4 linked regions of the Saccharomyces cerevisiae S288C genome follow. The gene in region 4 interacts genetically with the main gene of each other region. Each region holds a gene or a part of one and is shown on either strand. Other genes may lie near its edges.

Region 1 (9,471 bases), on a different chromosome or scaffold from region 4:
ATTCTTCATCATTTTTCTTGCTTCAAATGCACGCTTTCTTTGTTCTTCACCGATCTGTTTAGAGATACCAGGCTTACCCACAGCAATACGATCAGCAGTTTTAGAAGGCAGACCATCTCTCCTCTTATTCCTTGCAGCCTTTATTTCAAACGGATTAAACTCTTCTCTGATTTCAGCAATGGCCTTTTTTTTTTCTTCACGATCATACTCCTTCGCTTGTCTTTTGGAATTCTTTTTATTCTTACTTTTGACGTTTGTTTGACCTGTGAGTCCACGGGCCTTCAAGGCGGCCTTTAAATTCTTAAGTTGTGAACCGGCCATGTATTTGATCTTCCCTTTTATTTGCTTCTCAACTGTACTATTTACAGTAATAATTAGTGCAACCTTCAGATGCTTCTCGCTAAATGCTCATCTCTAAATTATCATTATTATTCCTAATAAATCCTAAAATTTTTCACTCGTTCTGTACGGCTCATCGCCCCAATATTACCCGTCTTGTATGTGATCTTTTTGACTTTTCGGTGGCAAAATGCAAAGGGGAATCCAAGGAAAAACCATAACAGGACACTACATCAGAGATAATCTTGAATTAAGAGAGTAGAGGAATATACTGCTGGGCTCACTACCATTTTTGTTGCTAGAGTAAACGTAGAGAAAGATGTCAAGAGATGCACCAATTAAGGCTGACAAGGATTATAGCCAAATTTTGAAGGAAGAGTTTCCTAAGATCGATTCGCTCGCTCAAAATGATTGTAACTCTGCTTTAGACCAACTGTTAGTGTTGGAGAAGAAAACCAGACAAGCTTCAGATCTGGCCTCCTCGAAAGAAGTTTTGGCCAAGATTGTAGATCTGCTAGCATCAAGGAATAAGTGGGACGACCTAAATGAGCAATTGACTCTACTCTCAAAAAAGCATGGTCAGTTGAAATTGTCAATTCAGTATATGATACAAAAGGTTATGGAATATTTGAAAAGCTCGAAATCTTTGGATTTAAACACCAGAATTAGTGTCATTGAAACTATCAGGGTGGTTACAGAGAACAAAATATTTGTAGAAGTGGAAAGAGCTAGGGTCACCAAAGATTTGGTGGAAATTAAGAAAGAAGAGGGTAAGATTGATGAAGCTGCAGACATCTTGTGTGAGTTACAGGTTGAGACCTATGGCTCCATGGAAATGTCTGAGAAAATTCAGTTTATATTAGAGCAAATGGAATTGAGTATATTAAAAGGTGATTATTCCCAAGCCACGGTGCTTTCAAGAAAAATTCTGAAAAAAACTTTTAAAAATCCAAAATACGAGTCATTGAAGCTAGAATATTATAATCTTCTGGTAAAAATTAGTTTGCACAAGAGAGAATACCTAGAAGTTGCGCAGTATCTGCAAGAAATTTATCAAACAGACGCCATTAAATCAGATGAGGCTAAGTGGAAACCTGTTTTATCGCACATTGTATATTTCTTAGTCCTTTCACCTTACGGCAATTTACAAAATGATTTAATTCACAAAATCCAGAATGATAACAACCTGAAAAAATTAGAAAGCCAAGAATCTTTAGTAAAATTGTTTACTACGAATGAGTTGATGAGATGGCCAATTGTTCAAAAAACCTATGAGCCCGTCTTAAATGAGGATGATTTGGCATTTGGTGGAGAAGCTAATAAGCATCACTGGGAAGATTTACAAAAAAGGGTCATCGAGCACAATTTAAGAGTCATTTCCGAATACTATTCCAGAATTACTTTACTAAGATTGAATGAATTGCTGGACCTAACGGAGAGCCAGACGGAAACATACATCAGTGATTTGGTAAACCAGGGCATCATATACGCTAAAGTTAATCGCCCAGCCAAAATCGTGAATTTTGAAAAACCAAAAAACTCAAGCCAATTATTGAACGAATGGTCACATAATGTTGACGAACTATTAGAACATATAGAAACAATAGGCCATTTAATTACAAAAGAGGAAATCATGCACGGTTTGCAAGCTAAATGAAGAGATTTTCGAGTAAGTGTCGGATTATCTCAGATCCGGTTTTGATTTTAAATCTGTTACTAATCGAAATGTGTATTTACGTACGTGAGATAAAATTATCTATGCATATATATAACTCAAATGGAAAATGGCCACGTATTGCTCTCATTCTCTTCACTTGCTTACACAAAACATAAGGTGACAATTAATGGAATTTTAGTTTTTCAATTTTTCAGGGGAAAGAAGACACCCAAAAAAAAAGTGAAAAGTCAAAACGGTAAACTGTTTATGGTATTTAAATGACATTAATAGCAGCGTAAAGAGTCATTTTTTCGTTTGATTAGCAAAACTCTGAACATTAATTACTACACCTATAGACATATCTTTAAACAGTGAAATATTTTTTTCATTTAGTAAACAAGAATTAAACTTTGAATATTTTTTTTTCGATTAACTTATGTCACTTTAGCCTATACTTTCTTCGAACATTTTTCCTTTCATTTTGACTCATGATATTAGATCCATTATCTCCAAATATTGAAAATCATACTCAAGATGAAATAATTGAGTTTTGGGAAAAAACTGAGTCTATTGCTAACATACCAAAGGAAAACTTGGATGAATCCCATGTTAACTCAAGCCTGGTTGCCTACCTGAAGTTTGCTACTGATTCCTATAAGGTTTTTATTAATACTGATCGTGACCTCTACCGGATGTCGCTAATACTGTTAGAATCGTCCTTATTTGAATTTAAAAAAGAGTTTTGCCTAAGTAAGTTGCAGTCGTTACTCAACATAGACCTACTGGAAATGAATATGAAGTTCATTATTGTTTACATTCTTCTCTGTGAGGCGAAAAAAAACGTGTACTCCTTAGAAATCATGCTCAAGTTCCAAGGATTTACTGTGTTTTATAATACCTTGTACACACAATTCGCCTATTTGAGCAAATACGGAAAGGAAAGGACAGTTGCTTCTAAACATCAATACAATTCTAATAATTCTAGCACAGGTACATCCTTGGACAGTTTAGACCGAAGTTTGACTGATATTGATTTGGGTATTATAGACGAAATGAAGCAAATTTCAACTGTTTTGATGGATTTGTTATTTCAAATTATGAAGTACTGTAAGTGTGTTATTGCTAATCTTCAAATTGTGGATGACTTTTTTGTTTACTATATGATGGAATCAATGAGGTCCGACACTATGGACGATATGTTCAATAACGCGGAGTTTAAACTGCTGTTGGCGTTGAACGAACAATATATGATGTTTGCCAAGGAGTACGACATTGAGAACAAGGTCTATAAGTATTTGATCAATGGGTCTGTCTCAAGATGTTTTACGGAGCTATTATTACTGAAATTCAATAGGGCATCGGACCCTCCGTTACAAATTATGATGTGCAAAATTATTTATCTTATCTTGACACCAAGAGGAGACTACTCTCCGATGAATTTCTTTTATACAAACGACTTACGTGTTCTTATCGATGTATTAATCAGAGAACTACAGAATATCAGTGAGGATGAAGAGGTATTGAGAAACACCCTTCTAAGGGTTCTGATTCCGCTATTAAAGAATACACAATTATCCAAAACACATTATAGAAAGGATGATTTGAATAAACTATTAAACTACTTGTCGACTTTAGATAATATATGCGTTGACAGTCCAGCGTTGCACGAGCATCAAGTTACAGTGGCCTTATCTCGGAAGTGTCTTCAACAAATTCCTTGGTTAGAGACACCTTCAACGCCTTCAGATGGAGGTTCATCGGTCTCTAGTAATAACACTAGTAGAAACTCTAGCATTGTTGCATTGGGGACGCCCGACAATCAAAATATCTTGGCTCGTAAAGGCCATCTTTATAGTAATCGTGAATTAGATGTTTCTGCAGAATCTTTGACTAAAAGAAAGGCTAAAGCTCCGCCTCCGCCTCCTCCTCCTCCTCCATCAAGAAAATGTGGAACTCCAAAATAAGTAAAGCATTATTTCTTCTTGCATTAATGTGGTTCTTCCGACCATTTCTTCTTCTACTCACTGCAGTATCTAATGACACATTGTACTTTTTATATACAAATGCAACAATCGTAACTATAAAACTAAAGTTCGGGTTGCTTCCGAATACATGCTGGCAGAATTTCAGGTTGTGTGTCACTTGTTAAAATAGGCGATATTTTTTATTTTAGAAGTTGTATATAACTGTTAATTACATAGTCAGTTTTTTTTTTTCACTATCATATTGTTTAGATTAAAAGGACTTGTCACATGAAATTTAGGTCGAGCAGAATACAATCCCGAGAAAATCAATAGGCAAAATAGCATTTATACACGTATTCTTAATCCGGATGCAGGTGCACCGATCTTAGAAATCATAGCAATTCTATCTATTTTATCTTTTTCCGTGATAACGTATTTACTACCTGTTAATGGGTCAGAAACGGAAGGTGTATCTTCATAAATTGGTTTGTAGGTGGCTGCACAAATATCGAATTTAGCATAAGGATCAAAGTCAATTGGAATGGCGTCACTGGCCATTGAGTCGGCTTTGTTTTTGATTTTACGTGCTTGTTCTGCACGAGGACCAGAAGAAATAATCTTTAAAAATTCACCGGCAAAATATGAGGCCTGTAAGAAATTTTTGTGTTTGAAATGTTGGGACATAGCCACTTGTAAAGCATTGGTACGATGAATTGGGGATAGTTTTGCCTTTGTAAAGTATGCAGCTAGCTCAAGCATGCGTACAGTATTTCCCTCCTTTAATGAGCGGCGTTCCAATTCAATGGATAAACCTAATATATACTCCCTAGCAGTTTCCAGTATCTTGTGTGCTAATTTTTCATCTTCAGCATCATCGACCATTAATAGCGTAATACGGTAGATAGCTTCTCTGAAGCATTCGATTGCAATATCTGGTTTGTTTAGTTTAAAGTTTTTGTAACCCTCATTCATTTTTTCATTAACGACATCAAGACCTGGCACGTAAGGAAGAATTTGATCTTCACTTACGGTATCATCATACGCTCTGACATAACCTAATTGAGCAGGAAGTTCACAGGGCGTACTAGGAATGTATGTTCTACAACCCTCATAAATGTTGGTAAAATATTTCTTCAATGGCTCCAGCTTGACTACACCCACTTGCTTGCTCAAGGCTTGAACAGCGGCATCAAAGGCACCAGCGGCAACTAGGACAGCAGGCAGTTTAGAATTCTTGATCCAAATGGCTGTTTCAACTTCCTGTGCTGGAGAGGTAATTTCGCCTTGCTCAACTTCTTCAGGTAACTCTTCTCCCACATCCAAATCTTCGTCACCCAAATCCCAGGCACCTTCGTCTTCACCAATATCCTCATCGTTAAAGTTTTCTTCGCCTAGTGGTTCTTCTTGCTCTTGAGTGGTGTTTACTGCTGGAGTTTCATCGTCTATAGTCAAATCGTCAATTTGACCTAAAACAGCCTTTTCAAAGTAAGATAGTTCAGCCTCTTTTAATGGCCATTTTTCAAGTGGCTTTGAGATCACTGGTCTTTGAACGAAGTTGGAGGCATCCATCTGGTCTGGTAAAGTAACATCTTGTTCATCAACTTCAGCTTGCTCCAAGAAAGCAGAAGCAGCCGCTTCATCTCCGTTAGCCTTTGCTACGGCATAAGCTAATGGTAAAGAGCCGCCCTCTGCAAAAATGCTAGATCTTTCCTTGGTTGAATTGTTGTAAAAGGTGTTTAATAGCATACTTCCAAAGTCTTCACGAGTCTGAGCGATATTTTGCATTTTAGATAGTTTGTTAACGTCACCTGTAACTAAATACAGGAAGGAAAGTTTGTCAAAAGAATGTTGAGTTTGATAAATCATTTCAGCTAAGCTGGCATTACCTTGTGCCAAGGCTTCTTGGATTAATCTTTCCCAAGTACTAGAATCATTCAGTTTTTTGGCTTCATCTAAGGCAACATCCAAATTACCGTATTCCAAAGCTAAATCAAAACGGATATGTGGGTCTTGAACGAATTGTAAAGCAATTTCTGGGTAACCTGACTTCTGCAGATAGGAAATGATATTCTGGCCAACCAAATTAGAATCTTTTATCAGACGTAAAACTTCTGGGAAATTTTTGTTAACCAGGGCCTTTTTGAAGCGATATTCTGTAGGATCAATGGTTAAAATTTCAATCTCACCTTCACGGTTCAAGCAGTACACTAATTTTCCCTGAACTTTTGTGATATATAAAGTTTTCTCCAAAGTTTTAATAATACCTCTATCCCCGTTCAATAGTGAGTACCTTATATGATTTAAAGTTGAATAAATTAATACACCAGTTTCATCCCAAGCGGCACTTTTGATTCTAATCGTTTCATGCATAGAATTAATCAATTCTAGCTTTTTGGTAGCCAAAGTTATGGTGTGCTTACTCATCAATGCAACATATTGACCATCTAAGGACCACGAAACGTACTTGACGTTTTTAACAGCCAATTGGGATACTTTTTTGCCCTGTTGGACATCATAAAGAATAACTTCTCTGGGGTGTATGACCAAAACAGATCCAGGACCTGCAGCTACAATAGTTCTTACTGTTTCCTCTACTTTGATATTTCTTGTAACTTTGTTTTCGAGAGAGCGAACTTCAACAGATTCAGTGTTCTTGTTGTAAACAACAAATCTATTACGACCAACAAAAGTAGCAAAATTACCTGTATCTTGGGTGACACTTGTTGGCTCCACAGCTCCAACTGGTTGTTTTGGTAAAATAACGAGAGCAAATTTGCCATTAGCTTCATTAACCAAAACTGAATGTTGGGAGGGATTGTACGATATACTTCTGAATGCATCCCAAGGTTGACCAATACCCTTTAAGGACGCATAAGGTAATGAAGCGACTCTTTTCTGGAAATTGAAACTTTGGATTTGCTTTTCCGCATTGACAAAAAACAACTGGTTTTGATGGATAAAGCTGCATGGTCTTTCGCGATCGAGCTTGAAAACCATAATACCAGAATCGTGAGCTGCACCAAATAGATTGATATGAGGATGTGCTGCAATCAACCAAAATCTATCGTTTTCTCTTTTGAATTGCTTTACTGGAGTTCTCTTGTCAAGATCCCAAACCCTTAGCGTTTTGTCTTCACCGACAGAAATGATCAAGTTTTGATGTGGGTGAAAGATAACACTATCAACATTGTTAGTGTGACCTCTGCAAGTATCAACTTCCCAAGCTTTCGTAGCACTCATTCTCCATAATTTAACTTGACGGTCGTCACTGCCGGAGACAATCAATGGTAAAGTTGGATGGAAAGAGGCCCAGTTGACACCTCTTGTGTGACCCTCTAGAATAAACTTGACAACACAGTCACCAAGAGAGCCATCCAATAGATTTTGTTGTGCACTCATTTGCTCCTCAAATGAACTAGTACCAGGAGCGGAGTGTCTTTTCCTTAAACCGGAAATATCCCAAATTCTGATGGTTTCATCCAGAGAAGCGGAAACGATCAGGTCATCGGTTGGATGAAATTGAGCACACATGACAAAATGATTGTGGCCGGTCAAACATGCAATTTCCTTACGGTTTTGCCAGTTCCAGATTCTTATGGTCTGGTCATCAGAAGCAGATATGATCCAAGGCAGCTCACGGTGGAAAAACACGGTACGGACATAATCCAAATGCCCAGTTAAGGTGTATAGACATTTGTTAGTATCTAAGGACCAAACTTTAATGGTATAGTCGTCACCTGCCGAAACAAAAATCGGTTGGGTTGGATGGAAATCTAGCCCACGAACAGGGCCCTCGTGGTCTTCAAATCTGTGAAGTAGTGTTCCCATCCTGTAATCCCATAATTGAATAGTAGAGGAAAACAAAGCCACCAAAACCCAAGGTCTGGAGGGGTGGAAGGCAATGCCCTTGGCCCTAGTGGACTTTGATTCAAATTTAGTTAACATCTTCATCTTGATCCAGTAATGAAATGAACAAAGACACTACAGAAGAAAAAAAGTATACTGATTTCAGGTTAAATAAACCGCGAATTTGTAAACAGGTATGATAATGTTTTTATTCAAAAGTGTAAAGGGAAGATAAAATAAAAAGAAAAAACTTTATATCTTAAGCAAAGAAGGGGGTAAGTAACAAATGTTTGGAAAATCCTGCTGGTTTCGCCAATTCTATGATTTACCTAATTGCAATGCCTCTTCAAACAAGTTTGTGGTCCCTGTATGCTACTGAATCGAGGCTCAATCGTCACAGTCTCGAAGACGGATCTGTTATTTATTCAAGTTGGCAAATTGTCGATTTCGTTTCGTGTTGTCGAAATTTTCGGTCGCTCTGTACGTCGTATAAATGCTGACAATAAGAATAATAGTTAAGAGTACATACTAAATTATGTGTTACAATATACTAGATGAAGGCTCGTCAACGAGGCAAGCAATGGTTGGAACTACTCGTCCACAAGAGTGGCAGTTTTTTCGTCGAACTTCAATAGGCCTTTCCGCTCCTTTAGTTTGGCCTGTACTAGCACAAGTAGGTTGTATAAGATAGAAAGAGTGGGTGTAGCGACGCCGTTTCTTTTCGCGATTCTTATGGGGTTGCCTAGGATGACTTCTAGCTCCATCAATTGGCCCTTCTCGCAGTCCACGCACATGGATGGCTTGAACACCTTTTTCCTGGTAATCTCTGTAAACATCGTTATGAACTCCTCTTCGATAATGATGCCTTCACTCGCCGCAATGGCGATGATCTCCCTCATGGCAGGGTGGAACACTTCAATTTCTGTGCTCTTCTTGTTAACCCCAAACTCCAGGCAACGCGGAACGTCTAGCCCCACAAGTGCCGTGGATGTGTTGATAGCTGCATTGTAGAGCAACTTCTTCCACCGAGAGTAACGGACCCTAGGGTCAAATTCGACAAAGTTTTGCCCCTCGTTGCTGTACATCCTGACGAAGTCGTTGGCAGCCTGGATAGCAGCAGCGTCCTGTGGATCAAAAGCTCCACACGATAAGTGGTCCTGGCCCACTTGACTGATATGGCCTGACCCGATCTTAGTGGATCCGATTAACTGGATGCCAGAAAGCACCGTGTAACGATACTGCTCTCTGGGAAATTCCGCCCATATCTCCTTCTCAATATCGATTCCGTTCTGTACCAGTAAAATGTGTGTCGTCAATTGCGGCCCATGTAGCTCTTTATTCTTCTCAAGCACAGGTCTGATGATGTTGGACACCCTTGAATTAACGGGCCCATCTATGATGTTCTTGGTAGTCACTACAATATAGTTGTATCCTTGGTTGTCTGCGGCAGAAGCAGCGTCCTCGACGCTGCTGTAAATATGGTGGGGTCTCCAACCTTCTAACCGGCCATAGTCACATGATTCGATTGTGTAGCCATGCTTCAATACCCTATCGTAGTCAGATCTGACTACCAAGGAAACGTCGCTCTCCTTCTTAAGCCACAACGAAAGCGCAGTAATGACCCCAACGCCACCTGCCCCGATAACTAGTATTCTAGACATTTTC
Region 2 (7,561 bases), on a different chromosome or scaffold from region 4:
TAAATCTTCGAAGGACGACGATTTTCTTCGAGGTTGAAAAAAGTTTTTCAAGAATTTTCGCGCTTCTTCCTAATCGGGAATTTATCTGTCATAATTATAATTCCCTATTTGGGAATTGGAACGAAATATATGCTACTATTTTAAAAATTATTCTGCACCATTCCGGAAATAACCTTCCGGTGACTGCAAGTTAGGCAACCTTATCATATGGTTAACTAGCATAATTACAAACGCGCATGAGGAAATTTAGCGAAACTACCTGCCAAATGCGGCGCTCTGGTTCAACTGTTTCATTTCTCCATTTTGTATAGCTCTACTGGATCTTCTTCGACACTGCAAACGACGCAAGAGCATTCTTGAAGTAAAAGAGGTAAATACAAAGCTGTTTACAGGCTCATCATCCATTATGAACCCTTGACTACGGAAACGCAGGATGTGGGAAATCGTTAGATTGCAAAATGAGCCTGACGAGTCCGTTCAACAACTATTTCTGTTTCTGTTTCCGTTACGGATTTCCTCTCCTCATCTTGTGCATCTGAGCTTATGCATGAACTCTCGAGGGGATTACTTATGGTGTCGTTTCCATTTTTCGATGAGTCTAATCTATATTTTTCTTGATTTTTTGGCGAGAGAATATGTGCAAATGGCTTCTGCTCTTCGCGGTCATTCCAATTAAGATTTTTACTGATACTTTCAAAAAATTCACTGGCAGATGACTCGATAGTCGGTACCGAATAGGGGCTTGCAGTTATCACAACATAGTCACCCTGTTTCAATTCAACTCTATCTTTTCCGTCAAAATTCACCCACGACGTCCCTCTTGAGTTCATATCTACTCTAACTTTTAATTCCATGCTATCTGGTAAAATTATAGGCCTAAAGCTCAAAGTATGAGGACATATAGGCGTCACCGCTATGGCATTTACGCTTGGCGATATTAAAGAGCCTCCTGCACTCAATGAGTATGCCGTGGATCCCGTAGGCGTGGCAACAATCAATCCATCTCCCTGAACCTTAGTCATTAGTGAGTCGTTTCCATAGAGTTCTAATAGGGATAAACAAGGAGCTGGACCTCTATCTATGGTTACTTCGTTCAATACGTGATGTTCGGAGATGAAATCGATGTAACATATTTTTCTCCCAGTTGCGGCATCAATTTCTGGTTTATTTCTACGGTAGAGTTTGCATTGCAACCTCATTCGTAAATTAATACGAACCTCATCTGTTAAGATATGTTTCAACGTTTCTTTGAAATTTTGAAATTCAAAATTTGTTAGAAATCCTAATGATCCAAGGGCAAATGGAACAATCGGCGGAACATCTTTCGTGAATATAGATGAAGCAAAAAGGACAGTTCCATCACCCCCTAGTGTAATCATCAAGTCAAAGAATGAATCGTGTTTTTTAACAAATTCTTTTGACCAATACTTTACTCTGTTTTTACTGCAATTGCTGTCTTTGCAGAGGTCACCAACAGCAAACTGAGTTGACTTTTTAAAAATATCTTGTACATATACAGTTATTGAATGGAAATTGCGTAAGATCCATTCCACCACTTCTCTCATGAGAAATACAGTGGAAATATCATTAATATTGCAGATTATTATCAGGTTTTCAACCTGCAAGTCAACCTTAGCATTTATAAGATCCTTTCTCAAACGCCTTACATCGTATGCAGTATCAACATAAAATGGGTATAAATTACTCGTGTCCTCACCGACAATTGTTTCGCTCGATAATCTTCTGACCCAGTTTTTTGCATCATGATAACCGCACCTCATTAAGCCCGGTTCTTCGAAGTTGCTTAATACCTTGCCTTCCGCTAAAACTTTAACTGATGTCATTCTGTCAATAGTATCCATAGTATCCATCTCAGCATCTCCCTTGGTACATGTCTCCGGGGAAGCGTTAATCAGTAATCTATCAGTTTTCATATTCTCTTTTAGTAAAAAATGTCACGTAAGCAGATTTATTGAGATTGCACTATTTCCATTTCCCTTTCACAACGCTATAGAAGTGAGATGAATACACTAACCTGATTGTAGGTTTATTTATATATATAATATCAATAGCTAGCAGTTTATTAAACGACCTGAAATGCAGTTTCTTCGATCACCAGATAAGTCCGATTATCCTTTTGTTTTCGATTTTCTTGAGGACCGGTGTGATATCCACAATCACCCTAAAACTAAAACAAAGCCATATAGTCTTAAAACAACGGAACAATCCATAACAAAAGTATATTAAATTATCTCATATGTTCAAGATTATGAGGTCCTAACAGATAACTCTTCCAGTTCATACTCAAACACCTGAAGGCGTGGCGGGCTTTTACCAAAAATGGATAAACCTCGGAAGGCCTTTTCAATCCCCTGTCTTGGCGGCGGTGTTATAATAAACTATTGTGGGGATAATAGTGATTTTCATAACGTAAAAATCGTTTACATATTGTTCAAGGGTTATAGAATAGGACATATAACAGAATACATATCACCGCAATCTCCTCTTCCTTAATATACATGGGACGAAAAGCGGTGTCCATGTTCTTATTCAAGCTGATTGAATTTTACATTTCCAGTTATCAGCTTTCAACAATGGTAATGACGCACCTAAACACCAACCGATTTCTTTATTGGCAATTTTCTTTCCAGTTCTCAATTCTCTTTGTAATGGAATGTCATATCCCGTATGTAATAAGGACACTTGAAAAGATAAGTCCAAACAGAAGTGCGAGTCACTTTCCAATTCATCTAGGGACCCCGCAATGCCACTGAAGACACTATTCCAAGTTTCTTCGCCTTTACACACTATTCTTGCCAAATCGTTCAATTCATTCAAAGTAAAGGACAAGGGCATACCCAATGGACGGGTTCTGTCGTAGAAATAAGAGAAAATATAGATATCGTTCGATTCTTTGAATGTACGAACTAAAGAAGGTTGGTGAACCCCATTGAAAGAGCATGGTGGAGACTGGCACTGAGCATCTTTATTCAAAATTTCATCAGTCAGAAATCTACATTGTGCACCACTTGGCTCGTCCGGCCCTATAAAGTCAATGGTATAAGTTTCCTTGGATTCTAATGTAACCTTTTCATTTGTGGCATTAACTTTAGGCGGTAGGCATGGAGATGACAATTGATGAGTCTTAGTGTTATCACCCTTCAATATTTTGCCGTCTTTTAATGCATTTTCCACAAGAACAGAGTTAACTTTATTTCTTCCTTCCTTCAAACCGTAACCTAGATGAGAAAATTGGTACAAGGTGTAATTTTCATCACCAAACTTCAAATCAAATTTATGCTCACCATCGACCATTTTTTCATTTATTGGGAAAGTAGGCTCAAAAACAATTTGTGTAGACCCTCCGCCTAAGTCAAAAACGGCAGCAGTAGGTAACTTGGGGCCATTAGCACCGATATTACCTAATAGGTAGTTTGTAGTAATCCAGGCGAAGACACCTTCTTCATCACCGCCCATGATGGAAACACCATCACCTTCGACAACTGGGAAAGGATAGTCCTTCTCCAAATGATCCCTTACAGCGCTCAAAATTTTTGAAGATTTGGCATCACCCAAGAGTCTTAGGCCTGCAGTAGCTTTCACCGCAACGGGAGTACAACTTCTTGCCTTAATAGGGACATAGTTCATTGCTACTTTCAGTAATGGGTCAAGGGAGTTAGCGGCACCAACGGAATCGGTATCGAAAGAAGATAAACCAGGCTCTAACATGTCGAATTTTTCATCAAGTAATGTAGGTGGGGAAGTACAGACGTCAAACTTGTATATATGTACTCGGGAACCGGTAGAGCCGGCATCGATCATGATAACATACTTATGTTCTTCGCTGCATGTTTGACTTGTTTGTGACTTCACAGCATCGGCAAGCTCAGGATAGTTTTGTTCAGTCTTCGAATCTTGAAGGTAACCTGGTTCATCATTGACGGGCAAGATAGAGATGTCCTCCGGAGTTTTGGGAATACTAGCATTAGGAGTAACTGTACGTGCAATAGAAGGTGGACCGATGGAAGATGTTTTAATCAACAAAATGAGCATAATAACGGCAAAAGCACCGATAGCGAACCGGTAATTTCTAAAGATGGGCGCCATGTTTTTTGTGCGATGATGTCTTAATGTTTCTTCTCGAGAGGACCCTTAACTGTTCGCCAATAAAGATTGTTGATTGCAGTCCTTGCCCTTTTTATTAGTGCTTTCTCCTTAAAACCAAAATTAAATAAGCTTGTAAAAGAAACTGTTTTTATATTTGGAAAATCGAAGCACTATGCAAGGAATATTATTAATGTTGACAGTTATTTTTCATGTGTTATGTTTTTCATATTGAAGTTGTAAAAAGATGGGAAAAATGAAATTGAGACGAGACGCCAAAATAAAAAGAAAAAAAAAAAGAAAAAATGAGATTAATACCGTTACCCTATTGATGATTAAGAATAAGCTCAAACTGCTTTCATATATTATGTTTCATAATTTATATATCTACATATATACACGACCTGGAAGTATTATAATATTGTTCATGAGTCGTGACTGTGCGGGTTAAATAGATTATTCATACCGCTCTTGGACAACAGTTTTGACATTCTTCTACCGCTTGGACTAGTTGATGGAGTTGATGAATCTTGAATATCCGTGTCCGCATTAGCAGGTGATGATGCAGACTTGTGCTTAAACTTGGACCATGCAGAAGAAATGCTGCTGTTACTTTGGTTCCTCTTGTGAGAAGGCTTAGGGCTTGGTTCTTTAGCGGGAACCTTTGGACCCACAGGCACATCGAGGTGATACTGCTCCTCCAATGGAGGAGAAAGTTGATTTGTATTTGAATTCCATATGGAGTTGAAAGGTGGTGAAGAGGCATGGAAAGATCTTCGTGTAATGTTATCCGCCGTTGGTTGATGGTTCATTGTTAATATGTTCGAGTGTGAAGGTGTTAAAGTAGTGTTATTGCCTGGAACAATGGGCACATCGTTTGAGAGTCGTGGGCTCAAGTTTGGCACCAATAAATTGAAGTCACTTGATATCCTTGGACTAATGTTCTCGGTTTCATTGCCATTGATATTGTTCTGTAAGGAGTTTGCAGGTTGCGGAGCACTGTAGAAAGAACCACTGCGTACAAAACTTTGTAATGAAGGATCATTCAATGTAGCGGCGAGTAGACTCTGTGGATGCATAGGATTCGTATTGGTTGCGTTGGAGGTTTGTCGCAAATGAGAACTAGAATATGGAGATATTACTGGGTTAGCCTTATATGATGACATAGGTGTTCCAGTCGTAGAGAAAAGACTTTCATTTGTGCTGCGCACCTGGGGTTGCTGCTTAGTCCAGTAATTGTCAAGTTCGTCTGTAGTAAAACCCTTGGAATAATTGCTTATGTTATCAGGATAGTCTGTTTCGTCGTAGATCATATTTTGCAAACCACTGATTAAGTGGTTTGCATTATCGTATTCAAAAGCTTGATCCAATTCTGTAGATACTTGTTGATGCGAAGGTTGAGCGAATTGTGCGGTGGTCCATAAATTTGACCTTGAGTGACCATTAGTTGCTGTTGCTGTTGCTGTTGCATTAGCAGTAGCAGTTGTAGGTAAAGCATGTGAATATGAAGAAGGCTGTTGCTTGTTTTCGTTGTTCGATGAGATGTGATTGGAGAGCATTGATCGATTATCGGTGTCCTGTGTCAATTGACTCAATAGACTGCTTGAAGGTTGTATGGGTTCATTCGAAGGAGAGTACGAAACTGGATTGTGCAACCTCAACGGAGGAGCAGAATCAGCATTACTGTTGTTAATACTTTTGTTATTATTCGATATTAAATCAATGGACCCCGTTCTTGACATGTTGTTGGATAATGGTAATTGAATCGATCCAGAACTTCTGTTTTTTTCCGCGGAATTATTCGAATTGGTGGCAGCAAGCGAATCACCGTTATTCTTATATGGTTGAACCATTAATTTTGTTTTCAAATTCCGATTATTAAGGCTCATTTCATTAAATTGGTTTTCTAAAGCACTAATTTTCTTCAACAAATTTGACCTCTGCAATTTCCAGTTGGCCTCCAATTCTTGATCAATGCTTAGCTCTTGCTTAATCATTTTAATCAATGATGAGTCTGCATTCAATTTGGATAGAAACTCTTCACCAGCATTACTTAAAAATCCATTTTTTTCTAAAGTAAAATCATTGAGCTTCTTCAAAACAGCCGACAATTCTCCGCTAGCAATAGGTTTATCGTTTTCCACATTGGCATTCACCACTATGGAAGTAATCAATGATTTTTTGGAGGCGTTCAATCTCTTGTTAGACTCCTCCATCTTGGAAATTTCATTTTGTAAAGACTCAATTTCTTTGTTGATATTGGCCACAGAGGCATTGGATTCATTTAGCAATTTGAAATATTTCTCCTTTATGGTATCCTTAGACAACAGCTCGGTATCTTCCTGAGACCATTTCTGCATATCATTGCGCATTTTCGATATTTTTTCCTTGGATTTGTCGATTTTCTTGTTCAATTTTTCGATTTTCAAATCGGTCAATAGTTTAGAATTCTCCAATGACTTGATATTGGATTTCAAGGATTTCCGCAAGTCAATTTCGTGCGACCAATGTGTTTTCAAGTTATCCAGTTCTAGTTCTAATTCTAACTTCGATTCTTGAAAATCTTGCAAAAGCGAAGTTTGTTGGGACAACACATCGTGTAAGTCCTCCTGGGCGCAAATCAGTATCTTTTTCAGATCATCGATGGAAAACGAATCCAAATCCTTCAACGTAGTCAAAGATGTGTAAGCGGGTAGATTTGAACCATTATTGCTGGTGGCGCTATTAGTAATATTGGATGAGAAAGTAGACAGGGAAACAGAGGAGTAGTGAGAGGGCAACGGGGCGGGTTCGGACTTGGAGTTTCTGGGCTGCATAGCTGTGGACGATGTGATGGTGTTTCTTCTCCATTTTCTAGTCTTTAACGCTTCATTCGCCTCTCTCGCCTTCGTCATACAGTAAATGGAGGGTAGCTTATTGATAAAGCCCTTGTTGTTAATCGTTATAAAATCTAACTGGTACTGCGTCTCCGCCTCGAGACCCGTGATGGAGCAGCATGTGTAAAGGGAGTTTGGGTTGTTTGGGAAGATAGCCAATTGTGTGTTATTCAGATACAACAAATAGTGGGAAATGAAGTTTCTATCCGCACTGCCATTGTCCTCCGCTTTTACAGGTTCGTTCTCCCAATGAATGGTCACTGAATCCGTGGCTATTTTGTCGATAGACACTTTTGTTGCCGGTGGAGTTTTGATCTTCAAAGTGGAGACGATGCTGGACACAGGAATAGTGAGAAACTTATAGAGCCTATAAGAGAGCCACAGACATGCTAAAACCGTGGTTATTACAGAGACTGGCATCCATGCATGTGTTGGTAGTCCTAGGTAGGAGCGTAATGTGTCTTTACACGCTTTCCATTAACAATATTCCTTTTTTTTTTTTATTATTTTTTTTTCACTTTATCTTGTCCTTTTTAGCTTTACTCTACACTATTTTGCATTGTCGCACGTGACCAGCGACA
Region 3 (7,022 bases), on a different chromosome or scaffold from region 4:
GCTCTATTTAAGCAACTGTTCCATTTTCATCTGCGCCAAATGATAAACAGTGTTGATTTCTCTTTCCAGGGCATTAATAAACAGAGTATAAATTTTAAATGCGTAGTATCTATTTGACATGACGAAATTGTAGAAATTCAACAGGTCCACAGTCAAAAACTGCTGCGAACCACGCATATAAATACCGATACATGTTACTACCAACGTCAAATACAGGAATCTTTTGACCAGAGTAATGAAGTTCATCAACAACTTGTAAAAGACATAAAATGTGAAGAAAATAAACAATAGTTGGAAAACTAACGGGTGTGATTGGCTGAACTTAGTAATAGTAGGAATCAACCATTGGATGACGTCAATGGCAGACTTTAGGCATTGTGTTACTACGGATAGTTCGTATTGCGGTTGAGTAGCGTCCATTTTTGGGTTGCTCACTTTGCCCTTTGGTGACTGTTACGAAATTTTTTTCAGTAGCTTTTTCTCTTCCAGTAATTATATTTTCTCTACAAAAAATATACTCACTACAAAAGCCAGCAAATAAATGATAATATTCGTACGACACTAGAGAATATGATATTGTATTAAGTAAATATATATATATAGAGAAGGAGAGAGAAAGACAAGAACAGGGCGGCTATTAAGCGTCGTCTTCGTCATTCATAGAGATAGCTGTCTGTGGCTTTTCTTCTTCTGCAACCTCAGGCTTTGCTTCCGGCTCTTCCGCAAATGAGTTGGATAGGAACTCTTTCATTAGGCCAGCCGAGGTTTCAAAATACTCAGCTTGAGCCTTGGCCAATTCCTTCAAATCTTCACTGAAGTTAGCGTGAGAAATAACCTCCTGCAAGCACACAGTAGCGTCTTCAGTGACTTGAGCAAACTGGTCTTCCAAAGTCTCCATTTGGACTCTCAAGGAAGCTTCCTTTTCTGGCTTCTTGTTGTTTGCCAAGTTAGTTCTTGCCACGTCATATCTTAATCTCATGGAATGGACATCCTTGCGGCACTTATCGGCCTTACCGATCTCAAAAGAGAGCCTTTCCCTCAAATTTTTATTGAATTTGGTTTGAATCAAGGTATCTTGTTGAATTCTAGCTTGAGCAATCTTAGCCTGCACATCACTGAATTGCAAGAGTGCCGAAGCCAAGGGTTGTTCCTCGGTGGGGAACATCTTGTTCAAACATTCACTGGAGTTCAAAGCCACTTTACTGAGGGCGTAGTTCAACGTCTTGGGTTCTTTGATGGGGCCTGGAGCAACTAAGATGTTTTGTGCCTCAGACGCAGATGTAGCATGAGTCAACTCTGTCAACTTGGAAGCCACGCTTCTTGAAAACTCGTTGACGGATTCGTTGATGTATTTAGGGTAATCGTACGATCCGTTTTCGTAGATAGCAGTTACACCCAAGAAGTGGTTGTAAATCAGTTTGATGGTGTCAACCTTATCTTCCAGCTCTGTGTACTCTCTTGGCAATTGGGAGATGTCCGTCACCTGGCCCAAACGTTCCTGGACCATTCTTTGGGTGGATTGCGCCAAACTGGGCAATTCCTGGGTTTTTTCGGAAACACTTGTGGATATTTCCTGTAATTTCTTGCTCAAAGAGCTGGCGAAGGCATTAAACGACATTGATGACTATGATTTGTTGCTTATTCCACTCCTCTGCCTACAAATCATATAGGTTATAGGTGAAGAAGGTTGCAATTTTCTTGTTTTTGACATCCCGATTAATCCACCGCTCGCTTCTCACGGTAATAAGGGAAAATGTCTGCCAGTATGAAGCAAACAACATTAAACTGAGAACATTGGTGAGTCAAGACCATAACTGGAAGACGTGGTATCAAGACGCCTTCACGGTAGTATGTGGAAGATTATGCGTTCATGGAAATGTGGGGGAATGCGCTGGGCACATCGCCAGCGACCCTCACACGAGCTGCTGTCGCAACTGTCGTTCGACCAGCATTACAAGATTAGGTCGAACATTGAGCTGCTGATACAGGACTACGCTAGTAAACCAATTGCGCCCCTAAACTACGAGTATTTCCTGCAATACAGGCCGCCGCTGACCAAGAAGGAGGAGTACATGCTGACGATCAAGACAATCAACCTGTTGCTTTCATTGACGTGTAAACGGCTTAATGCCATTCAGAGGCTACCGTATAATGCGGTAATCAACCCTCATATTGAGAGAACCAACTCTTTGTATTTGAAAAGCTTGCAAACGTTGCTATCAATCGCATACCCGTACGAGTTGCACAATCCTCCCAAGATACAGGCCAAGTTCACAGAACTGCTGGACGACCACGAGGACGCCATTGTGGTATTGGCAAAAGGTCTTCAGGAAATCCAATCGTGTTACCCAAAGTTTCAAATTTCGCAGTTCTTGAACTTCCACCTGAAGGAGAGAATCACGATGAAGCTGCTTGTGACGCACTATTTGTCGTTGATGGCACAGAACAAAGGTGACACGAACAAAAGGATGATTGGAATCTTGCACCGGGACCTCCCCATAGCACAATTGATCAAGCACGTTTCTGATTATGTCAATGATATATGCTTTGTGAAGTTCAACACTCAGCGGACCCCGGTCCTAATTCACCCGCCATCACAAGACATCACATTCACGTGCATTCCGCCCATTCTGGAGTATATTATGACAGAGGTATTCAAGAACGCTTTTGAAGCTCAGATAGCTCTTGGAAAGGAACATATGCCCATAGAGATCAATCTTTTAAAGCCAGACGATGACGAGCTGTACTTACGGATACGGGACCATGGTGGTGGGATCACGCCCGAGGTAGAGGCCCTCATGTTCAACTACTCTTACTCTACACATACCCAACAATCAGCTGACTCTGAGTCTACAGATCTGCCCGGCGAGCAAATCAACAACGTCTCCGGCATGGGCTTTGGTCTACCAATGTGCAAGACGTACCTAGAACTGTTTGGGGGCAAGATTGACGTTCAAAGTTTACTTGGCTGGGGCACGGACGTGTACATCAAGCTCAAAGGCCCTTCTAAGACTGCACTACTCTCCAAAAAGTAACAGTGCTAAATTTCCTCGTAAAGCGGTACCATTAAGGGCTCTTTCTACTTCTTTAAATTATCTACATATGTATAAATATTCTTATTATATAAGGCGAAAAAATGAACGAGAAAAAAAAGTGTTGAAAGTATGCATTCAACTGGCTCTTCAACAAGAGACTCAATCAATTAAGCAATCGAAGATGGCTATTGATGCTCAAAAGCTTGTGGTGGTCATCGTGATCGTGGTCGTGCCTTTGCTCTTCAAGTTCATTATCGGACCGAAGACCAAGCCTGTGCTGGATCCCAAAAGGAATGACTTCCAATCATTTCCGCTGGTTGAAAAAACCATCTTAACGCATAATACTTCGATGTACAAGTTCGGGCTACCTCATGCTGACGACGTACTCGGTTTACCAATTGGTCAGCATATCGTAATTAAGGCCAATATCAATGGTAAGGATATTACCAGATCGTATACGCCCACATCGTTGGATGGAGATACAAAGGGAAACTTTGAATTACTAGTGAAGTCTTACCCCACAGGTAACGTTTCTAAGATGATTGGAGAGTTGAAGATAGGTGACTCGATCCAGATCAAGGGCCCTCGTGGGAACTATCATTATGAGAGAAACTGCCGTTCCCATCTAGGGATGATTGCTGGTGGTACTGGTATTGCGCCCATGTATCAGATCATGAAAGCTATTGCCATGGACCCTCACGACACTACCAAGGTCTCTCTAGTCTTTGGGAACGTCCATGAGGAGGATATTCTGTTGAAGAAGGAACTGGAAGCGTTGGTGGCCATGAAGCCTTCCCAATTTAAGATAGTTTACTACTTAGACTCTCCTGACCGTGAAGACTGGACTGGTGGTGTAGGATACATTACCAAGGATGTCATCAAGGAACACTTGCCCGCTGCTACAATGGACAACGTTCAAATTTTGATCTGTGGTCCTCCAGCCATGGTTGCCTCAGTTAGAAGAAGTACCGTGGACTTGGGGTTCAGACGTTCCAAACCGCTTTCCAAGATGGAAGACCAGGTGTTTGTGTTTTAAGATAAGGAACTGTAACAGAGTGCCATATATATATATATAGATTGGAACATATATAATATATACGCTATTTAGTTTAGTCACCTAAACGCACCGTTTCCATATTTCGTGCTGGACGATTTTCGACTCGATAATACGTATAAGATCGGTACTAATAGTAACAAAAGTAAAGGTAATACTTGCTTCAACTGTACAAAGGAGCATAGAACGTGGGGCAATTTACAAGCGATGTCGACGTCAGTCCCAGTCAAGAAGGCATTAAGTGCTCTTTTACGCGATCCAGGAAACAGTCATTGTGCCGACTGTAAGGCGCAACTACATCCACGCTGGGCTTCCTGGTCACTTGGTGTTTTCATTTGCATTAAATGTGCTGGTATACATAGATCATTGGGAACGCACATTTCGAAAGTGAAATCTGTTGATCTGGATACATGGAAGGAAGAACATTTGGTGAAACTGATACAGTTCAAAAACAATTTAAGAGCTAACTCATACTACGAAGCTACTTTGGCTGATGAATTGAAACAGAGGAAAATCACTGATACGAGCAGTTTACAAAATTTCATCAAGAATAAATATGAATATAAGAAGTGGATTGGTGACCTCTCCAGTATTGAAGGGTTAAATGATTCTACTGAACCAGTTCTGCATAAGCCGTCTGCGAATCATTCGTTGCCTGCTTCGAATGCAAGATTGGACCAGAGCTCAAATTCATTACAAAAGACGCAAACACAACCACCTTCCCACTTATTAAGCACCTCAAGGAGTAATACGAGCTTATTAAACCTACAGGTTTCATCGCTTTCTAAGACTACATCTAATACAAGTGTAACTAGTTCTGCAACAAGCATAGGTGCTGCTAATACCAAGACTGGCAACAGAGTCGGTGAATTTGGGCAAAGGAACGATTTGAAAAAATCCATTTTATCTTTATACTCAAAACCTTCTGCCCAGACTCAAAGCCAGAACTCATTTTTCACTTCCACGACACCTCAGCCTTGTAATACTCCGTCACCATTCGTGAACACTGGAATTACCGCTACAAATAATAATAGTATGAATTCAAATTCCAGTTCTAACATTTCATTGGATGATAACGAGTTATTTAAGAACGTCTGGAGTTGAATAAAAAGTAAAAAAAGAAAGCAAATATAGAAAGCAACAAAAAGAACATCATTCCAGTATATTATTTTATATAAAGAAAATGACCTTCAAATAAAAATAGAAAGTACGTATTCTTATCTTTTTTTTTTCTTTTGTATATGTAAAACAATACTATTAGTTTTTGTTTTTTTCTTTAATGGAATGGGTTTCTGAAAAGACTATGTTTCATCTCGTAGTTATCATTGACGTCTGTTGTGGGCCCTGTCCTCGTTTCATTCGTTACCACGTCAATTTTATAGTTTGCCGAATCATTATTGTCCCAATATTCCTTCCTAGAACGATCAACGCCCCAAGTTAAGTATTGAATACAAAACTCCAATTGTGATATATTGCTATCTTTATCATTTGGATTGTGTATATCATCAATGGAGAACTTAAAAATATCCATATTGCTTCCTGGTAAGATGCCATTGGCATTAGAAAAATACACGCATTCTGATTCATGAAAAGTTCTCCATGCATCCCATGTATATCTTACGATAATCTTCTTATCAAAGTATATGTTTTTCACAAAGACTTTGCCAATTATAACCATGTTGTGGAAGCCAGTTAGTAGCGTAATTTCTTGCAAAAAAACGGGCCTTCCACGGGAAAGATTCAGAAATATGTTAAGTTTTAAACTCTTACGGTTCCTGTCACTTAATATTGGAAAGTTCTTGTTGTAAAGACCAACAATTCTTTTAGAGTTTCCAATAAACAAGTTGGCTCCTGATTTAGCAGAATTTGTTCTTGTTTCTAAATAATCGTCGTCATCGTTTATTAACAAATTCTTCAACCCGTGCGCAAGATGAGCTTGGTCTTTGTCTTGTTGCCTTACTAAACGGTTTATAGCGTCGTCACTATCATTGTCATTTTCAATATCACTGTCATCGTCACTTAGTTTAAACTTCTTTTTTTTATTTCTACGATTATTAGAATTTGTACCAAATAGGAATACACCCTTCGGGTTTTGTAGCCATGTATCTCCATATTCGTTTTGGTTGTTTTCAGATAGTAAATCTTCTATAGGTACGCTATCACTACCGCCATTAAGGGCACTTAGTCTCGTCAAAGGCTTATGCTTGAAATTCAGAACATCTTGTTGAACCATTTGTTTGCCAACATCTATGGGTTTCTCATTTTCATTGAACAGCTTTATTGGTAAAACACGATCGAAATGGACACTTTTACTTCTTTGCAATAGCCTAGTATCTACATGATCTAAATTGACATGTTTACTCTTAGAGCCAGTTTTGTTGAATATAGATTTGGGAGTAATGGGTAGGGACTTGGATCTTCTTTTTAATGAACTCTTAACCAGTTCTCCAGATTTCTTGTAAATGGGAGGTGAAGGATTACCATTTTCCTCGGATTCATACTGGAAATTATCATGTGATAGAGGAGAGATTTCGTCTTCCTCCTCGCCTAATTTACTGACGTCTTGATGATGTGCGTTAAAGTTCGCTCCAGAATTTATAAACGGGTGATGGGCATGAACTTGTTTCCCATTAAAATACATTCCCTTATTCATGTCCGTATTTCTTTGAAGCTCGTCCTGAGGTAATCTGTGCAGTTTTACATTAGATAGTCTCCTGGGCTTGTGCAAAAACTCCAGAGAGTTCAGCCTGGCAGGGTGCATGTGCATGCTCATACCAGCAAAAGTTCTTATATTCGCATTTATGTTTCCATAGTTATTGTTGTGGGCACTGTTATTAGGAAGATTTAAAGGTTCATCCATCAGTATATTTTGTGGTTGCGTGGTGGTGGCCATACGGATAAAAGCAATAATACTAGCTAGCTATATTATCTTT
Region 4 (9,229 bases):
AGCAGACCAGCATCAGAGGGACCGTAACAAATGCGGTAAGGTCACCCTAATCATTATAATAGTTGTGTGCATGGTGGTATTGCTTGCTGTATTAAGTTAGTAATCTCCTTAAACGCGCATTGAGCACAGACTTTCTGGTAGACCCAATCTTATCTATTTACGAAAACAAGAGTGTATAAGAGTGTATAAGTTATTTTTTGCATTTATTCTTTTGTGGTAGGGGGGTTTCTTAGCCGCTCTTTTTGACTCAAAATTTCCTTTGATGTCTAGTGATAGTGCACTTCCCATGTGCGCAACCTGTGTTTTTTGTACTCCGTAGTTTAAATGCAAGGGCTCGATATGCCCTTTTTCCTTTTTCTACTTTGTACGATCTACACTGACCTTTTTTCAGTAGTCCGTAAATCCCCACGAATTTCTACTAGCGACTGCCAATAAAAAAAGGATTGTGCTACTGTATGTAAAAAGTAAGAACCCTGTTATTTTCCGTTAACTGTCATTTGCCTTACTGTTGCTTAACGGCCGCCAACCGTTATCAAGAAACAAAACATTGTATGCGTTGTCTTCTAAATGAACCTTGTGGGCCCTGATAAACATAAGAACGTGTCTGGCTCGGAAGTATTTATCTTATTTCAATTTTCGCTTTTGCAGAACATCCTTGCCTGTCACTAAGATAAGGACAGAGCGTGGATTAATAAAAATGGCAGAATTTCTCGGCAAAAAAAGAAATCATGCATAATTACCTCGATGTGTACGTTATTGCGGGCACGATCCTGTCGCTACGGCCTGATAGTAGCGGCTATTCTGCTGGCGAAAATTTTCAGCAGTTTGAAATCTTACTGTGGCGTCCCGGTCCAGCCGAGATGACATCTAACTAAGAAATGTCCGCTGCGGCACACCCACGCCGTTGCAGCTAAAGTCGCGCACCAAGCACAGACCTGCTGGAGAATGAGGAACAAGGTTGCGTTAAATGCTTCGGGAAGAACTGCCGAACCGAACCGCTAGAAAAGTGCGCAGGTACCCCGATCGAAGCGGCTCGGCGCTCATTTTAGCACAATCAGAAAAAGGAAATTGAAAGAAGAAAAAAAAAACATAATCATTAACAATTCTTTTCTTGAGATATACGTATATATGACGTCGTCATGTAGTATCTCTTTCGGGATACCCTTTGTAAACGTCCCTTTGTGGAGATGAAAAAAAAACTTGCTGAATAAAGATAGTTAAGGCGCTAGTAATCAAATTAATAACATATTATACCACATCACATCTATACCATTTCCGTTGCACATTGCTTGAACCAGTTGCCAAAATTGACTAAACGGATTTTTACAAAGTCAACGGTGATCACTAAAAGCAAACAACTCAAGCGACGAGGCAAGGAAAGAGAAGAAAAAAAAAATATTACATTGGCTATATAAATATCAAAACATCTTAGGTAAGGCACCTTTGATACATAAAACGAAGAAAATTCAGCACATGCCAGATGGCGAGTGTACCAAGTCTATGCGACATACTGATACCGCTAGAAAAGAATAGTCGCAGCGACGGCGATGCTGAAAGTAGCAATACAGTGCTGATTCAACTGCGAAAAGGGCATCACGAACGGATGCGTTCTCCTTACACAATACAAAAGTTTTACAAATTTCTAAAAAGAGCTCATTGTGAGGAAAATTTAGAATTTTTCGAAAAAGCTCATCAGTTCCTCCAGCTTAAGCAAAACAGGAGTATTAGCGAGGAGAAGCTCTTGGAAGTTTGGAACAAGTCGTTGTACATAAAATACATTGCCGTGGACTCCCCCAAAGAATGCAACTTTTCACAGGATACTAGGGAGATATTTGAGAAGTGCTTTGCTAACAATGAAGTACCTGCCGACGTAGACGTCCTGTGTGCCATTAGCCATGTGATGGGCCTATTAATGGACGGGTATCACCGATTTGTGAGTTCTGTTAATGAGAAAAAGTACTCCGCCACATATGCCCACAATGACTCTGCTACGGAACAAGATCTCAAAAACGAGTCTACAACTTCTTTTTCGTCATTAGGCGTGGAGGATATTTCTGAAGATAGAAATTCGTATCTTAAGAAGCCTGATATCAATGGTTTGTCAACTATCATTCAAGAAACGTCTGCAAACACGACCAATGAGTCGCAATGCAGCGATCGCACTTCTCGGCCAAGCGAGTCCTCTTCCTCACTCAACACTACCAGCTCGACCTACAAGAATACCAGCACTAGAAATCTGCAAAAACCGCAAAATACAGGAATTCTCAACTCGGGGAAAGGTTTATTGCAAAAACTTAACTTTGTTAAAAAACGGAAATCTTTCAAACAGCCTTCAGGCGTCATTTGTAGCCATTATAACAGCAATGTTCAAAACCGTTTGAAAGGACAAAACAGTCATCAACAAAGATAGCCTCTTCATCATCTGTGGAGACACAAATATCTTCATCCTCATCGCCATTACCCAATAAAGCGATCGGTAAAAATGAAAAAAGCGTTGAAAACGGCTTTAAAAAGCTAAATTTGCATGATATCAGTTAATCAAGATTAGAACTTTGATTAAGTAGAACAACGATAGAAAATCCGCTTTTCTGGCTAGTTCCCTCGTTTCATATTAATTCATTTCACACAATTTACTTCATTTCATCACGCTCATATTGTTTGTAACTTTAGTTTTTATTTAATTTTACGTACATGACACTGCATATAATTATTTCACAGGCATTTAAAATAAGAGCATTGGGCACAGTCTTCTTTTATATGTTGTCATATTCAAACACTAAACATTTATCTGTATAGTAATTAATGTTAGCTCTTCCTTCTGCATGGCGCTTGTTATATACTTCATTCGTCTATTTTGGTGCCGCGCGCCATCATGGTCCGGTAACGGTCGTAGTGAATGACTCATATTTTTCCATCTCTTTCGGCCTTGCCAAAAAATGAAAAAAAAAAAAAAAAAAAAAAAAAAAATTAAAAACGATGTCCAGAATCACAACTACAACATAGTTTTGCCTCTTACTGGCTTGATTGGAAGTTAGCTGTTAAATTTCAATAATGCCTTACTTTACTCCACGAAATCACAATCCTTGTTTTCGGCTTATAAGGGTCTTCTCCTTAGGATAATACTATCGGCACATTATCATTTAGCCGCGTAGCCATGGTAAAACATTCGTTCATAGCGCTAGCTGAGCATGCTAGTAAACTAAGAAGGTCTATCCCACCCGTCAAACTGACTTATAAAAATATGCTACGGGACCCATCGGTAAAATATAGGGCGTTTGCTCCACCAAAAATGGTCAAGAGGATTTGGCCTGACAAAACTATTCAAAAGGCTCCACGTTGGCTGTCTACTGACTTGAGGGACGGTAATCAATCTTTACCGGACCCAATGTCTGTGGCTCAAAAGAAAGAATATTTCCACAAGTTGATCAACATCGGTTTCAAAGAAATCGAAGTGTCTTTCCCCTCTGCATCTCAAACAGATTTCGACTTCACCAGGTATGCTGTAGAAAACGCTCCAGATGATGTTGGTATTCAATGTCTTGTCCAATCTAGAGAACACTTGATTAAAAGAACCGTGGAAGCATTGACTGGTGCTAAAAGGGCTACCATACATACTTACTTGGCCACAAGTGACATGTTCCGAGAAATTGTCTTCAATATGTCTAGAGAGGAAGCTATTTCTAAAGCTGTAGAAGCCACCAAACTGGTTAGGAAACTAACCAAGGATGACCCTTCCCAGCAAGCTACTCGTTGGTCCTATGAGTTTTCTCCCGAATGTTTCAGTGATACGCCAGGTGAATTTGCTGTAGAAATTTGTGAAGCTGTTAAAAAGGCTTGGGAACCTACCGAGGAAAATCCGATCATTTTCAACTTACCAGCTACTGTAGAAGTTGCCTCTCCAAATGTTTACGCTGATCAAATTGAGTACTTCTCTACCCACATTACTGAGCGTGAGAAGGTCTGTATTTCTACGCATTGTCACAATGACCGTGGTTGCGGTGTCGCCGCCACAGAATTAGGTATGCTTGCAGGCGCTGATCGTGTAGAAGGTTGTCTATTTGGTAATGGTGAACGTACAGGTAATGTTGATTTGGTTACAGTTGCCATGAATATGTATACCCAAGGTGTTTCTCCTAATTTAGATTTCTCAGATTTAACTTCAATTTCTGAAATTGTCCATCGCTGTAACAAGATTCCAATTCCCCCAAGAGCCCCATATGGCGGTGAATTGGTTGTTTCTGCCTTTTCTGGTTCTCATCAGGATGCAATTAAGAAGGGATTTGCAATCCAAAACAAGAAACAGGCTCAAGGAGAAACTCGGTGGAGAATTCCATACTTACCATTGGATCCAAAGGATATTGGACGTGATTACGAAGCCGTCATCAGAGTCAACTCTCAATCCGGTAAGGGTGGTGCTGCTTGGGTTATTATGAGATCTCTAGGATTAGATGTACCAAGACCAATGCAAGTTGATTTCTCCAATACTCTACAGAAAAATGCAGATGCCTTAGGAAGAGAGTTAAAATCCGAAGAGATTACAAAATTGTTCAAAGAAACTTACAACTACAACAACAATGAACATATATACGTCACCTTGTTGAATTACGAAGTTAAGAAATTGAACCCAGAGCGTAGAGCTTTAGTGGGCCAGGTAGAAATCAACGATAAGGTTGTCAACATCGAAGGCTACGGAAATGGTCCTATCTCTTCTTTGGTGGATGCGCTATCCAATTTACTGAATGTTAAGTTGAGCGTTCAAAACTACTCTGAACATTCCTTGGGTTCTGGTTCTGCAACCCAAGCGGCATCTTTCATAAATCTTTCCTACATAAAGGACATCAATAATCATGCTACTAGTAATATGTGGGGTGTTGGTGTCTCCGAAGACACTGGGGATGCATCTATTAAGGCGGTATTTGCTACTGTCAATAATATTATTCATTCCGGGGATGTTCTACTGGCAGAGTAATAGAAAGGAGTAGCTTATGATTACTCATGTTATATATATATGTATTTTTATTTATAAATGGCACAGAAAAGTAACTTATTTCACGTTAAAAAGACATCTTTCAGCGAAGTTTCCAAACACTTCTTCGATGTCTGTGTGGAAAGTTTCTTTCGTTTATAGTTTTATTATTTTTTTTTGCTTTTTTTCCCATGGTACCATTTCCTTTCGTGAAACATTTTACCCAGGCCCACCCACCGCATAATCTTAACTGAATCCGAATAGGGATTTTTCGAGCACTACTGCAACTGTTGAGTGAGCTAGGAGTAGTGTAATTTGAGACTTTGTGAAGGGAGAACAGTCAATATCCAATATCATATTAAGAAAGCTAGCAGTACCTTAAGAGGAAGAAAGAAAATAACTGGGGCGAAGAATATCTAGTTATCCACTCCTTCATAGAATGATTATCTTTGTTTCAGAAGAACCTGAAAGGAGGCTAGCCATTGTATCCAACTTGTATGCTCTTGTTCTTAAACCGGTTGGGAAAAAGCCATCTGATAAACCCCTTTGTGCCATTGAACTTCTTCAAAAAAATGATTTGAAAAAATATGGCTTCAAAAGACTTACATCACACGAAATTTTTGGTGTTATCGGACTCATTGAGGTTAATGGCCTGCTGTTTGTTGGTGCCATCACTGGGAAATCAAAAGTTGCACAGCCATGCCCAGGAGAGACTGTGAACAAAATTTTTGCTGTCGATTTTTTTTGTTTAAATGACAACAGTTGGGATTTTATTGAAATCGACTCCTCAGGTTATCCTGTGTTGCCGGAGACTGCTTCAACTGAATATCAAGACGCCTTGCCAAAACATCCATGCTATGAATTGAAGAAACTATTATCCAATGGATCTTTTTATTATAGTTCAGATTTTGATTTGACCTCAACCTTACAGCATCGTGGATATGGTCAGCATTCTTTGAGTACAGATACCTACGAAGAAGAATATATGTGGAACTCTTTTCTCATGCAAGAAATGATCACATACAGAGATCATTTGGACACAAATTTGAAACAAATCTTGGATGACGAGGGGTTTTTAACAACAGTTATCCGTGGATTTGCGGAAACTTTCGTCTCGTACGTTAAGAAGTTGAAAGTTGCTCTTACTATCATCTCGAAACAGAGCTGGAAAAGAGCAGGAACAAGATTTAATGCACGTGGTGTGGATGATGAGGCAAACGTTGCCAATTTCGTAGAAACGGAATTCATTATGTATTCTAGCCAATACTGTTATGCTTTTACACAGATTAGAGGCAGTATACCTGTATTCTGGGAGCAAGGTACCTCTTTAATCAATCCAAGAGTACAAATTACAAGATCATTTGAAGCCACCCAACCGGTATTTGACAAACATATCATGAAATCAGTGGAAAAGTACGGACCTGTGCATGTCGTTAATTTGTTATCAACGAAATCTTCTGAAATTGAACTTTCAAAACGATACAAGGAGCATTTAACTCATTCAAAAAAATTGAACTTCAACAAAGATATATTTTTGACAGAATTCGATTTTCATAAAGAAACTTCGCAAGAAGGCTTTTCCGGTGTCAGAAAACTCATTCCATTAATATTGGACTCTCTTTTATCTTCTGGCTATTATTCTTACGATGTTAGAGAAAAAAAGAACATATCTGAACAACATGGCATATTTAGGACCAACTGTTTAGATTGTTTGGATAGAACAAATTTAGCTCAGCAAATTATTTCTTTGGCTGCTTTTAGAACTTTTCTCGAAGATTTCCGATTGATTAGTTCAAATTCGTTCATCGACGATGATGATTTCGTTTCTAAACATAACACCCTGTGGGCTGATCACGGTGATCAAATTTCCCAAATATATACTGGTACTAATGCTTTGAAGTCCTCATTTTCAAGAAAAGGTAAAATGTCACTTGCTGGGGCATTATCAGACGCCACAAAATCGGTCAGCAGAATATATATTAACAATTTCATGGATAAAGAAAAGCAACAAAATATCGATACTTTGTTGGGAAGGTTACCGTATCAGAAAGCAGTGCAACTTTATGATCCCGTAAACGAATACGTAAGTACGAAATTACAAAGCATGTCTGATAAGTTCACATCAACCTCCAACATTAACTTGTTAATAGGATCATTCAATGTTAATGGCGCAACCAAAAAAGTTGATTTATCAAAGTGGTTATTTCCAATCGGTGAAAAATTTAAACCCGATATTGTTGTTTTAGGTCTTCAAGAAGTTATAGAACTATCTGCGGGTTCGATTTTGAACGCTGATTACTCGAAAAGCTCTTTCTGGGAAAACTTAGTGGGTGATTGCTTAAACCAGTATGATGATAAATATCTGTTGTTAAGAGTAGAGCAAATGACTTCTTTACTAATTTTATTTTTTGTTAAAGCAGACAAAGCTAAATACGTCAAACAAGTGGAGGGTGCTACTAAAAAAACTGGCTTTAGGGGTATGGCTGGGAATAAAGGTGCAGTGTCTATAAGATTTGAGTACGGTGCCACTTCATTTTGTTTTGTCAATTCTCATCTCGCAGCAGGAGCTACGAATGTCGAAGAACGTCGAAGTGATTACGAGAGCATAGTTAGAGGTATTACTTTCACTAGAACTAAGATGATTCCTCATCACGATTCGATTTTCTGGTTAGGTGACATGAATTATAGAATAAATCTACCGAACGAAGACGTCAGAAGAGAGTTGCTCAACCAAGAAGAAGGATATATCGATAAACTGTTGCATTTTGATCAACTTACCCTAGGTATTAATTCTGGCAGTGTATTTGAAGGCTTCAAAGAACCAACTCTCAAGTTCCGTCCAACATACAAGTATGATCCCGGGACAGGAACTTATGATTCTTCTGAAAAGGAAAGGACGCCGTCATGGACAGATAGAATTATTTATAAAGGGGAAAACTTACTTCCTTTATCTTATTCAGATGCTCCGATAATGATTAGCGACCATCGGCCAGTTTACGCAGCATATAGAGCAAAAATAACTTTTGTTGATGATAAAGAGAGACTATCTCTCAAGAAACGTTTATTCACAGAATACAAACAAGAGCATCCCGAAGAACCGGGTTCTCTGATATCGGATCTTCTCAGCCTTGATCTGGATAATAAGAGCACTGATGGATTCAAAAGCTCTTCTGAAAGTTCTCTACTTGATATTGATCCGATAATGGCACAACCGACAGCGTCCAGCGTTGCTTCTTCGTCACCTGTGTCTTCAGCATCGGCTTCACTACAACCTGTCAGAACTCAAAACAGTAGCCAGTCGCGTACCCCCATAAAGAAACCGGTATTGCGCCCCCCACCCCCACCTGCTCATAAATCTGTATCAGCACCTGCTCCTTCAACATCGAAGGAAAAATCACCAACACCACAGACCTCAACTGCATCGTTGTCATCTGTGACTAAAAATATACAGGAAAATAAACCATTGGCGCAAAATAGACGAATTCCACCACCAGGTTTTAGTCAAAATATATTAACTCCAAAAAGTACCAGTAACTTGGCTTCGCCTATGTCTTCTAAGGTTGATTTATATAATAGCGCGAGTGAATCTACACGTTCAGCCCAAGATGCAAGACAACAGACACCTACAGCATTTGCAGCATCAAGAGACGTCAATGGGCAGCCCGAAGCTTTGCTAGGTGATGAAAATCCAATTGAGCCAGAGGAAAAGGCCAAACTAAACCATATGACTTTAGACTCATGGCAGCCATTGACCCCAAAATGAGAATATGTTATCTTTGAAGTGTGGTTGTTGTTCCGTTTGTATCCCTTTAAATGAACGAAGAGAAACAAGGGGGCTAACCTGGCCAGGTTGTTTTATGTGATTTTATTTAGATAAATATTTATATAAATATTCAGTGAGAGAAAAGGAGTGCGTTAATAAGGCGCGCCGGGTTTAAAGCTGAAAAATAGGACACATTAATATATATACGTTAAATATTGGTGAATACTTATGGGCAAGGTGGAAGAGAATCTCTACTATCCATAAATCCTCAGTAGGCTTTCCCCTAATTACCTTCATTTTTCTACCTCAATAACATATTACTCCTTTTCAATACATTTTATGGTGGTGAACACGATATATATCGCAAGGCATGGATACAGATCCAACTGGCTTCCGGAGGGTCCATATCCTGACCCACTTACAGGAATTGATAGCGATGTTCCTTTAGCAGAACACGGAGTCCAGCAAGCCAAAGAGTTGGCCCATTACCTTTTGTCCTT

The links.
Region 1: mutations in INP53 (region 4) and COP1 together harm fitness more than expected from each alone (negative genetic interaction), as found in Saccharomyces cerevisiae (3 studies listed by BioGRID).
Region 2: mutations in INP53 (region 4) and GDA1 together harm fitness more than expected from each alone (negative genetic interaction), as found in Saccharomyces cerevisiae (3 studies listed by BioGRID).
Region 3: mutations in INP53 (region 4) and AGE2 together harm fitness more than expected from each alone (negative genetic interaction), as found in Saccharomyces cerevisiae (3 studies listed by BioGRID).

What each region holds. Positions count from the first base shown.
Region 1 is NC_001136.10:190,266-199,736, forward strand, and holds COP1 (coatomer subunit alpha), read right to left. Parts: upstream 7,912-9,471; coding exon 4,306-7,911; downstream 1-4,305. Other genes in the region: snoRNA-binding rRNA-processing protein NOP14, read right to left, coding at 1-321; proteasome regulatory particle lid subunit RPN5, read left to right, coding at 659-1,996; LDB17 (Ldb17p), read left to right, coding at 2,485-3,960; YDL144C (uncharacterized protein), read right to left, coding at 8,397-9,467. UniProt on the Saccharomyces cerevisiae protein: The coatomer is a cytosolic protein complex that binds to dilysine motifs and reversibly associates with Golgi non-clathrin-coated vesicles, which further mediate biosynthetic protein transport from the ER, via the Golgi up to the trans Golgi network.
Region 2 is NC_001137.3:70,317-77,877, reverse strand, and holds GDA1 (guanosine diphosphatase), read right to left. Parts: upstream 4,108-7,561; coding exon 2,551-4,107; downstream 1-2,550. Other genes in the region: YEF1 (NADH/NAD(+) kinase), read right to left, coding at 447-1,934; GTA1 (Gta1p), read right to left, coding at 4,530-7,400. UniProt on the Saccharomyces cerevisiae protein: After transfer of sugars to endogenous macromolecular acceptors, the enzyme converts nucleoside diphosphates to nucleoside monophosphates which in turn exit the Golgi lumen in a coupled antiporter reaction, allowing entry of additional nucleotide sugar from the cytosol.
Region 3 is NC_001141.2:271,121-278,142, reverse strand, and holds AGE2 (GTPase-activating protein AGE2), read left to right. Parts: upstream 1-4,296; coding exon 4,297-5,193; downstream 5,194-7,022. Other genes in the region: APQ12 (Apq12p), read right to left, coding at 4-420; GVP36 (Gvp36p), read right to left, coding at 638-1,618; protein kinase PKP1, read left to right, coding at 1,851-3,035; CBR1 (cytochrome-b5 reductase), read left to right, coding at 3,217-4,071; putative protein phosphatase regulator PIG2, read right to left, coding at 5,366-6,982. UniProt on the Saccharomyces cerevisiae protein: GTPase-activating protein for the ADP ribosylation factor family.
Region 4 is NC_001147.6:519,873-529,101, forward strand, and holds INP53 (phosphatidylinositol-3-/phosphoinositide 5-phosphatase INP53), read left to right. Parts: upstream 1-5,405; coding exon 5,406-8,729; downstream 8,730-9,229. Other genes in the region: SNAP receptor VAM3, read left to right, coding at 1-100; GTPase-activating protein RGS2, read left to right, coding at 1,481-2,410; 2-isopropylmalate synthase LEU9, read left to right, coding at 3,155-4,969; transcription factor TFIIIC subunit TFC7, read left to right, coding at 9,069-9,229. UniProt on the Saccharomyces cerevisiae protein: Dephosphorylates a number of phosphatidylinositols (PIs) like phosphatidylinositol 4,5-bisphosphate (PtdIns(4,5)P2), but also phosphatidylinositol 3-phosphate (PtdIns(3)P), phosphatidylinositol 4-phosphate (PtdIns(4)P), and phosphatidylinositol 3,5-bisphosphate (PtdIns(3,5)P2).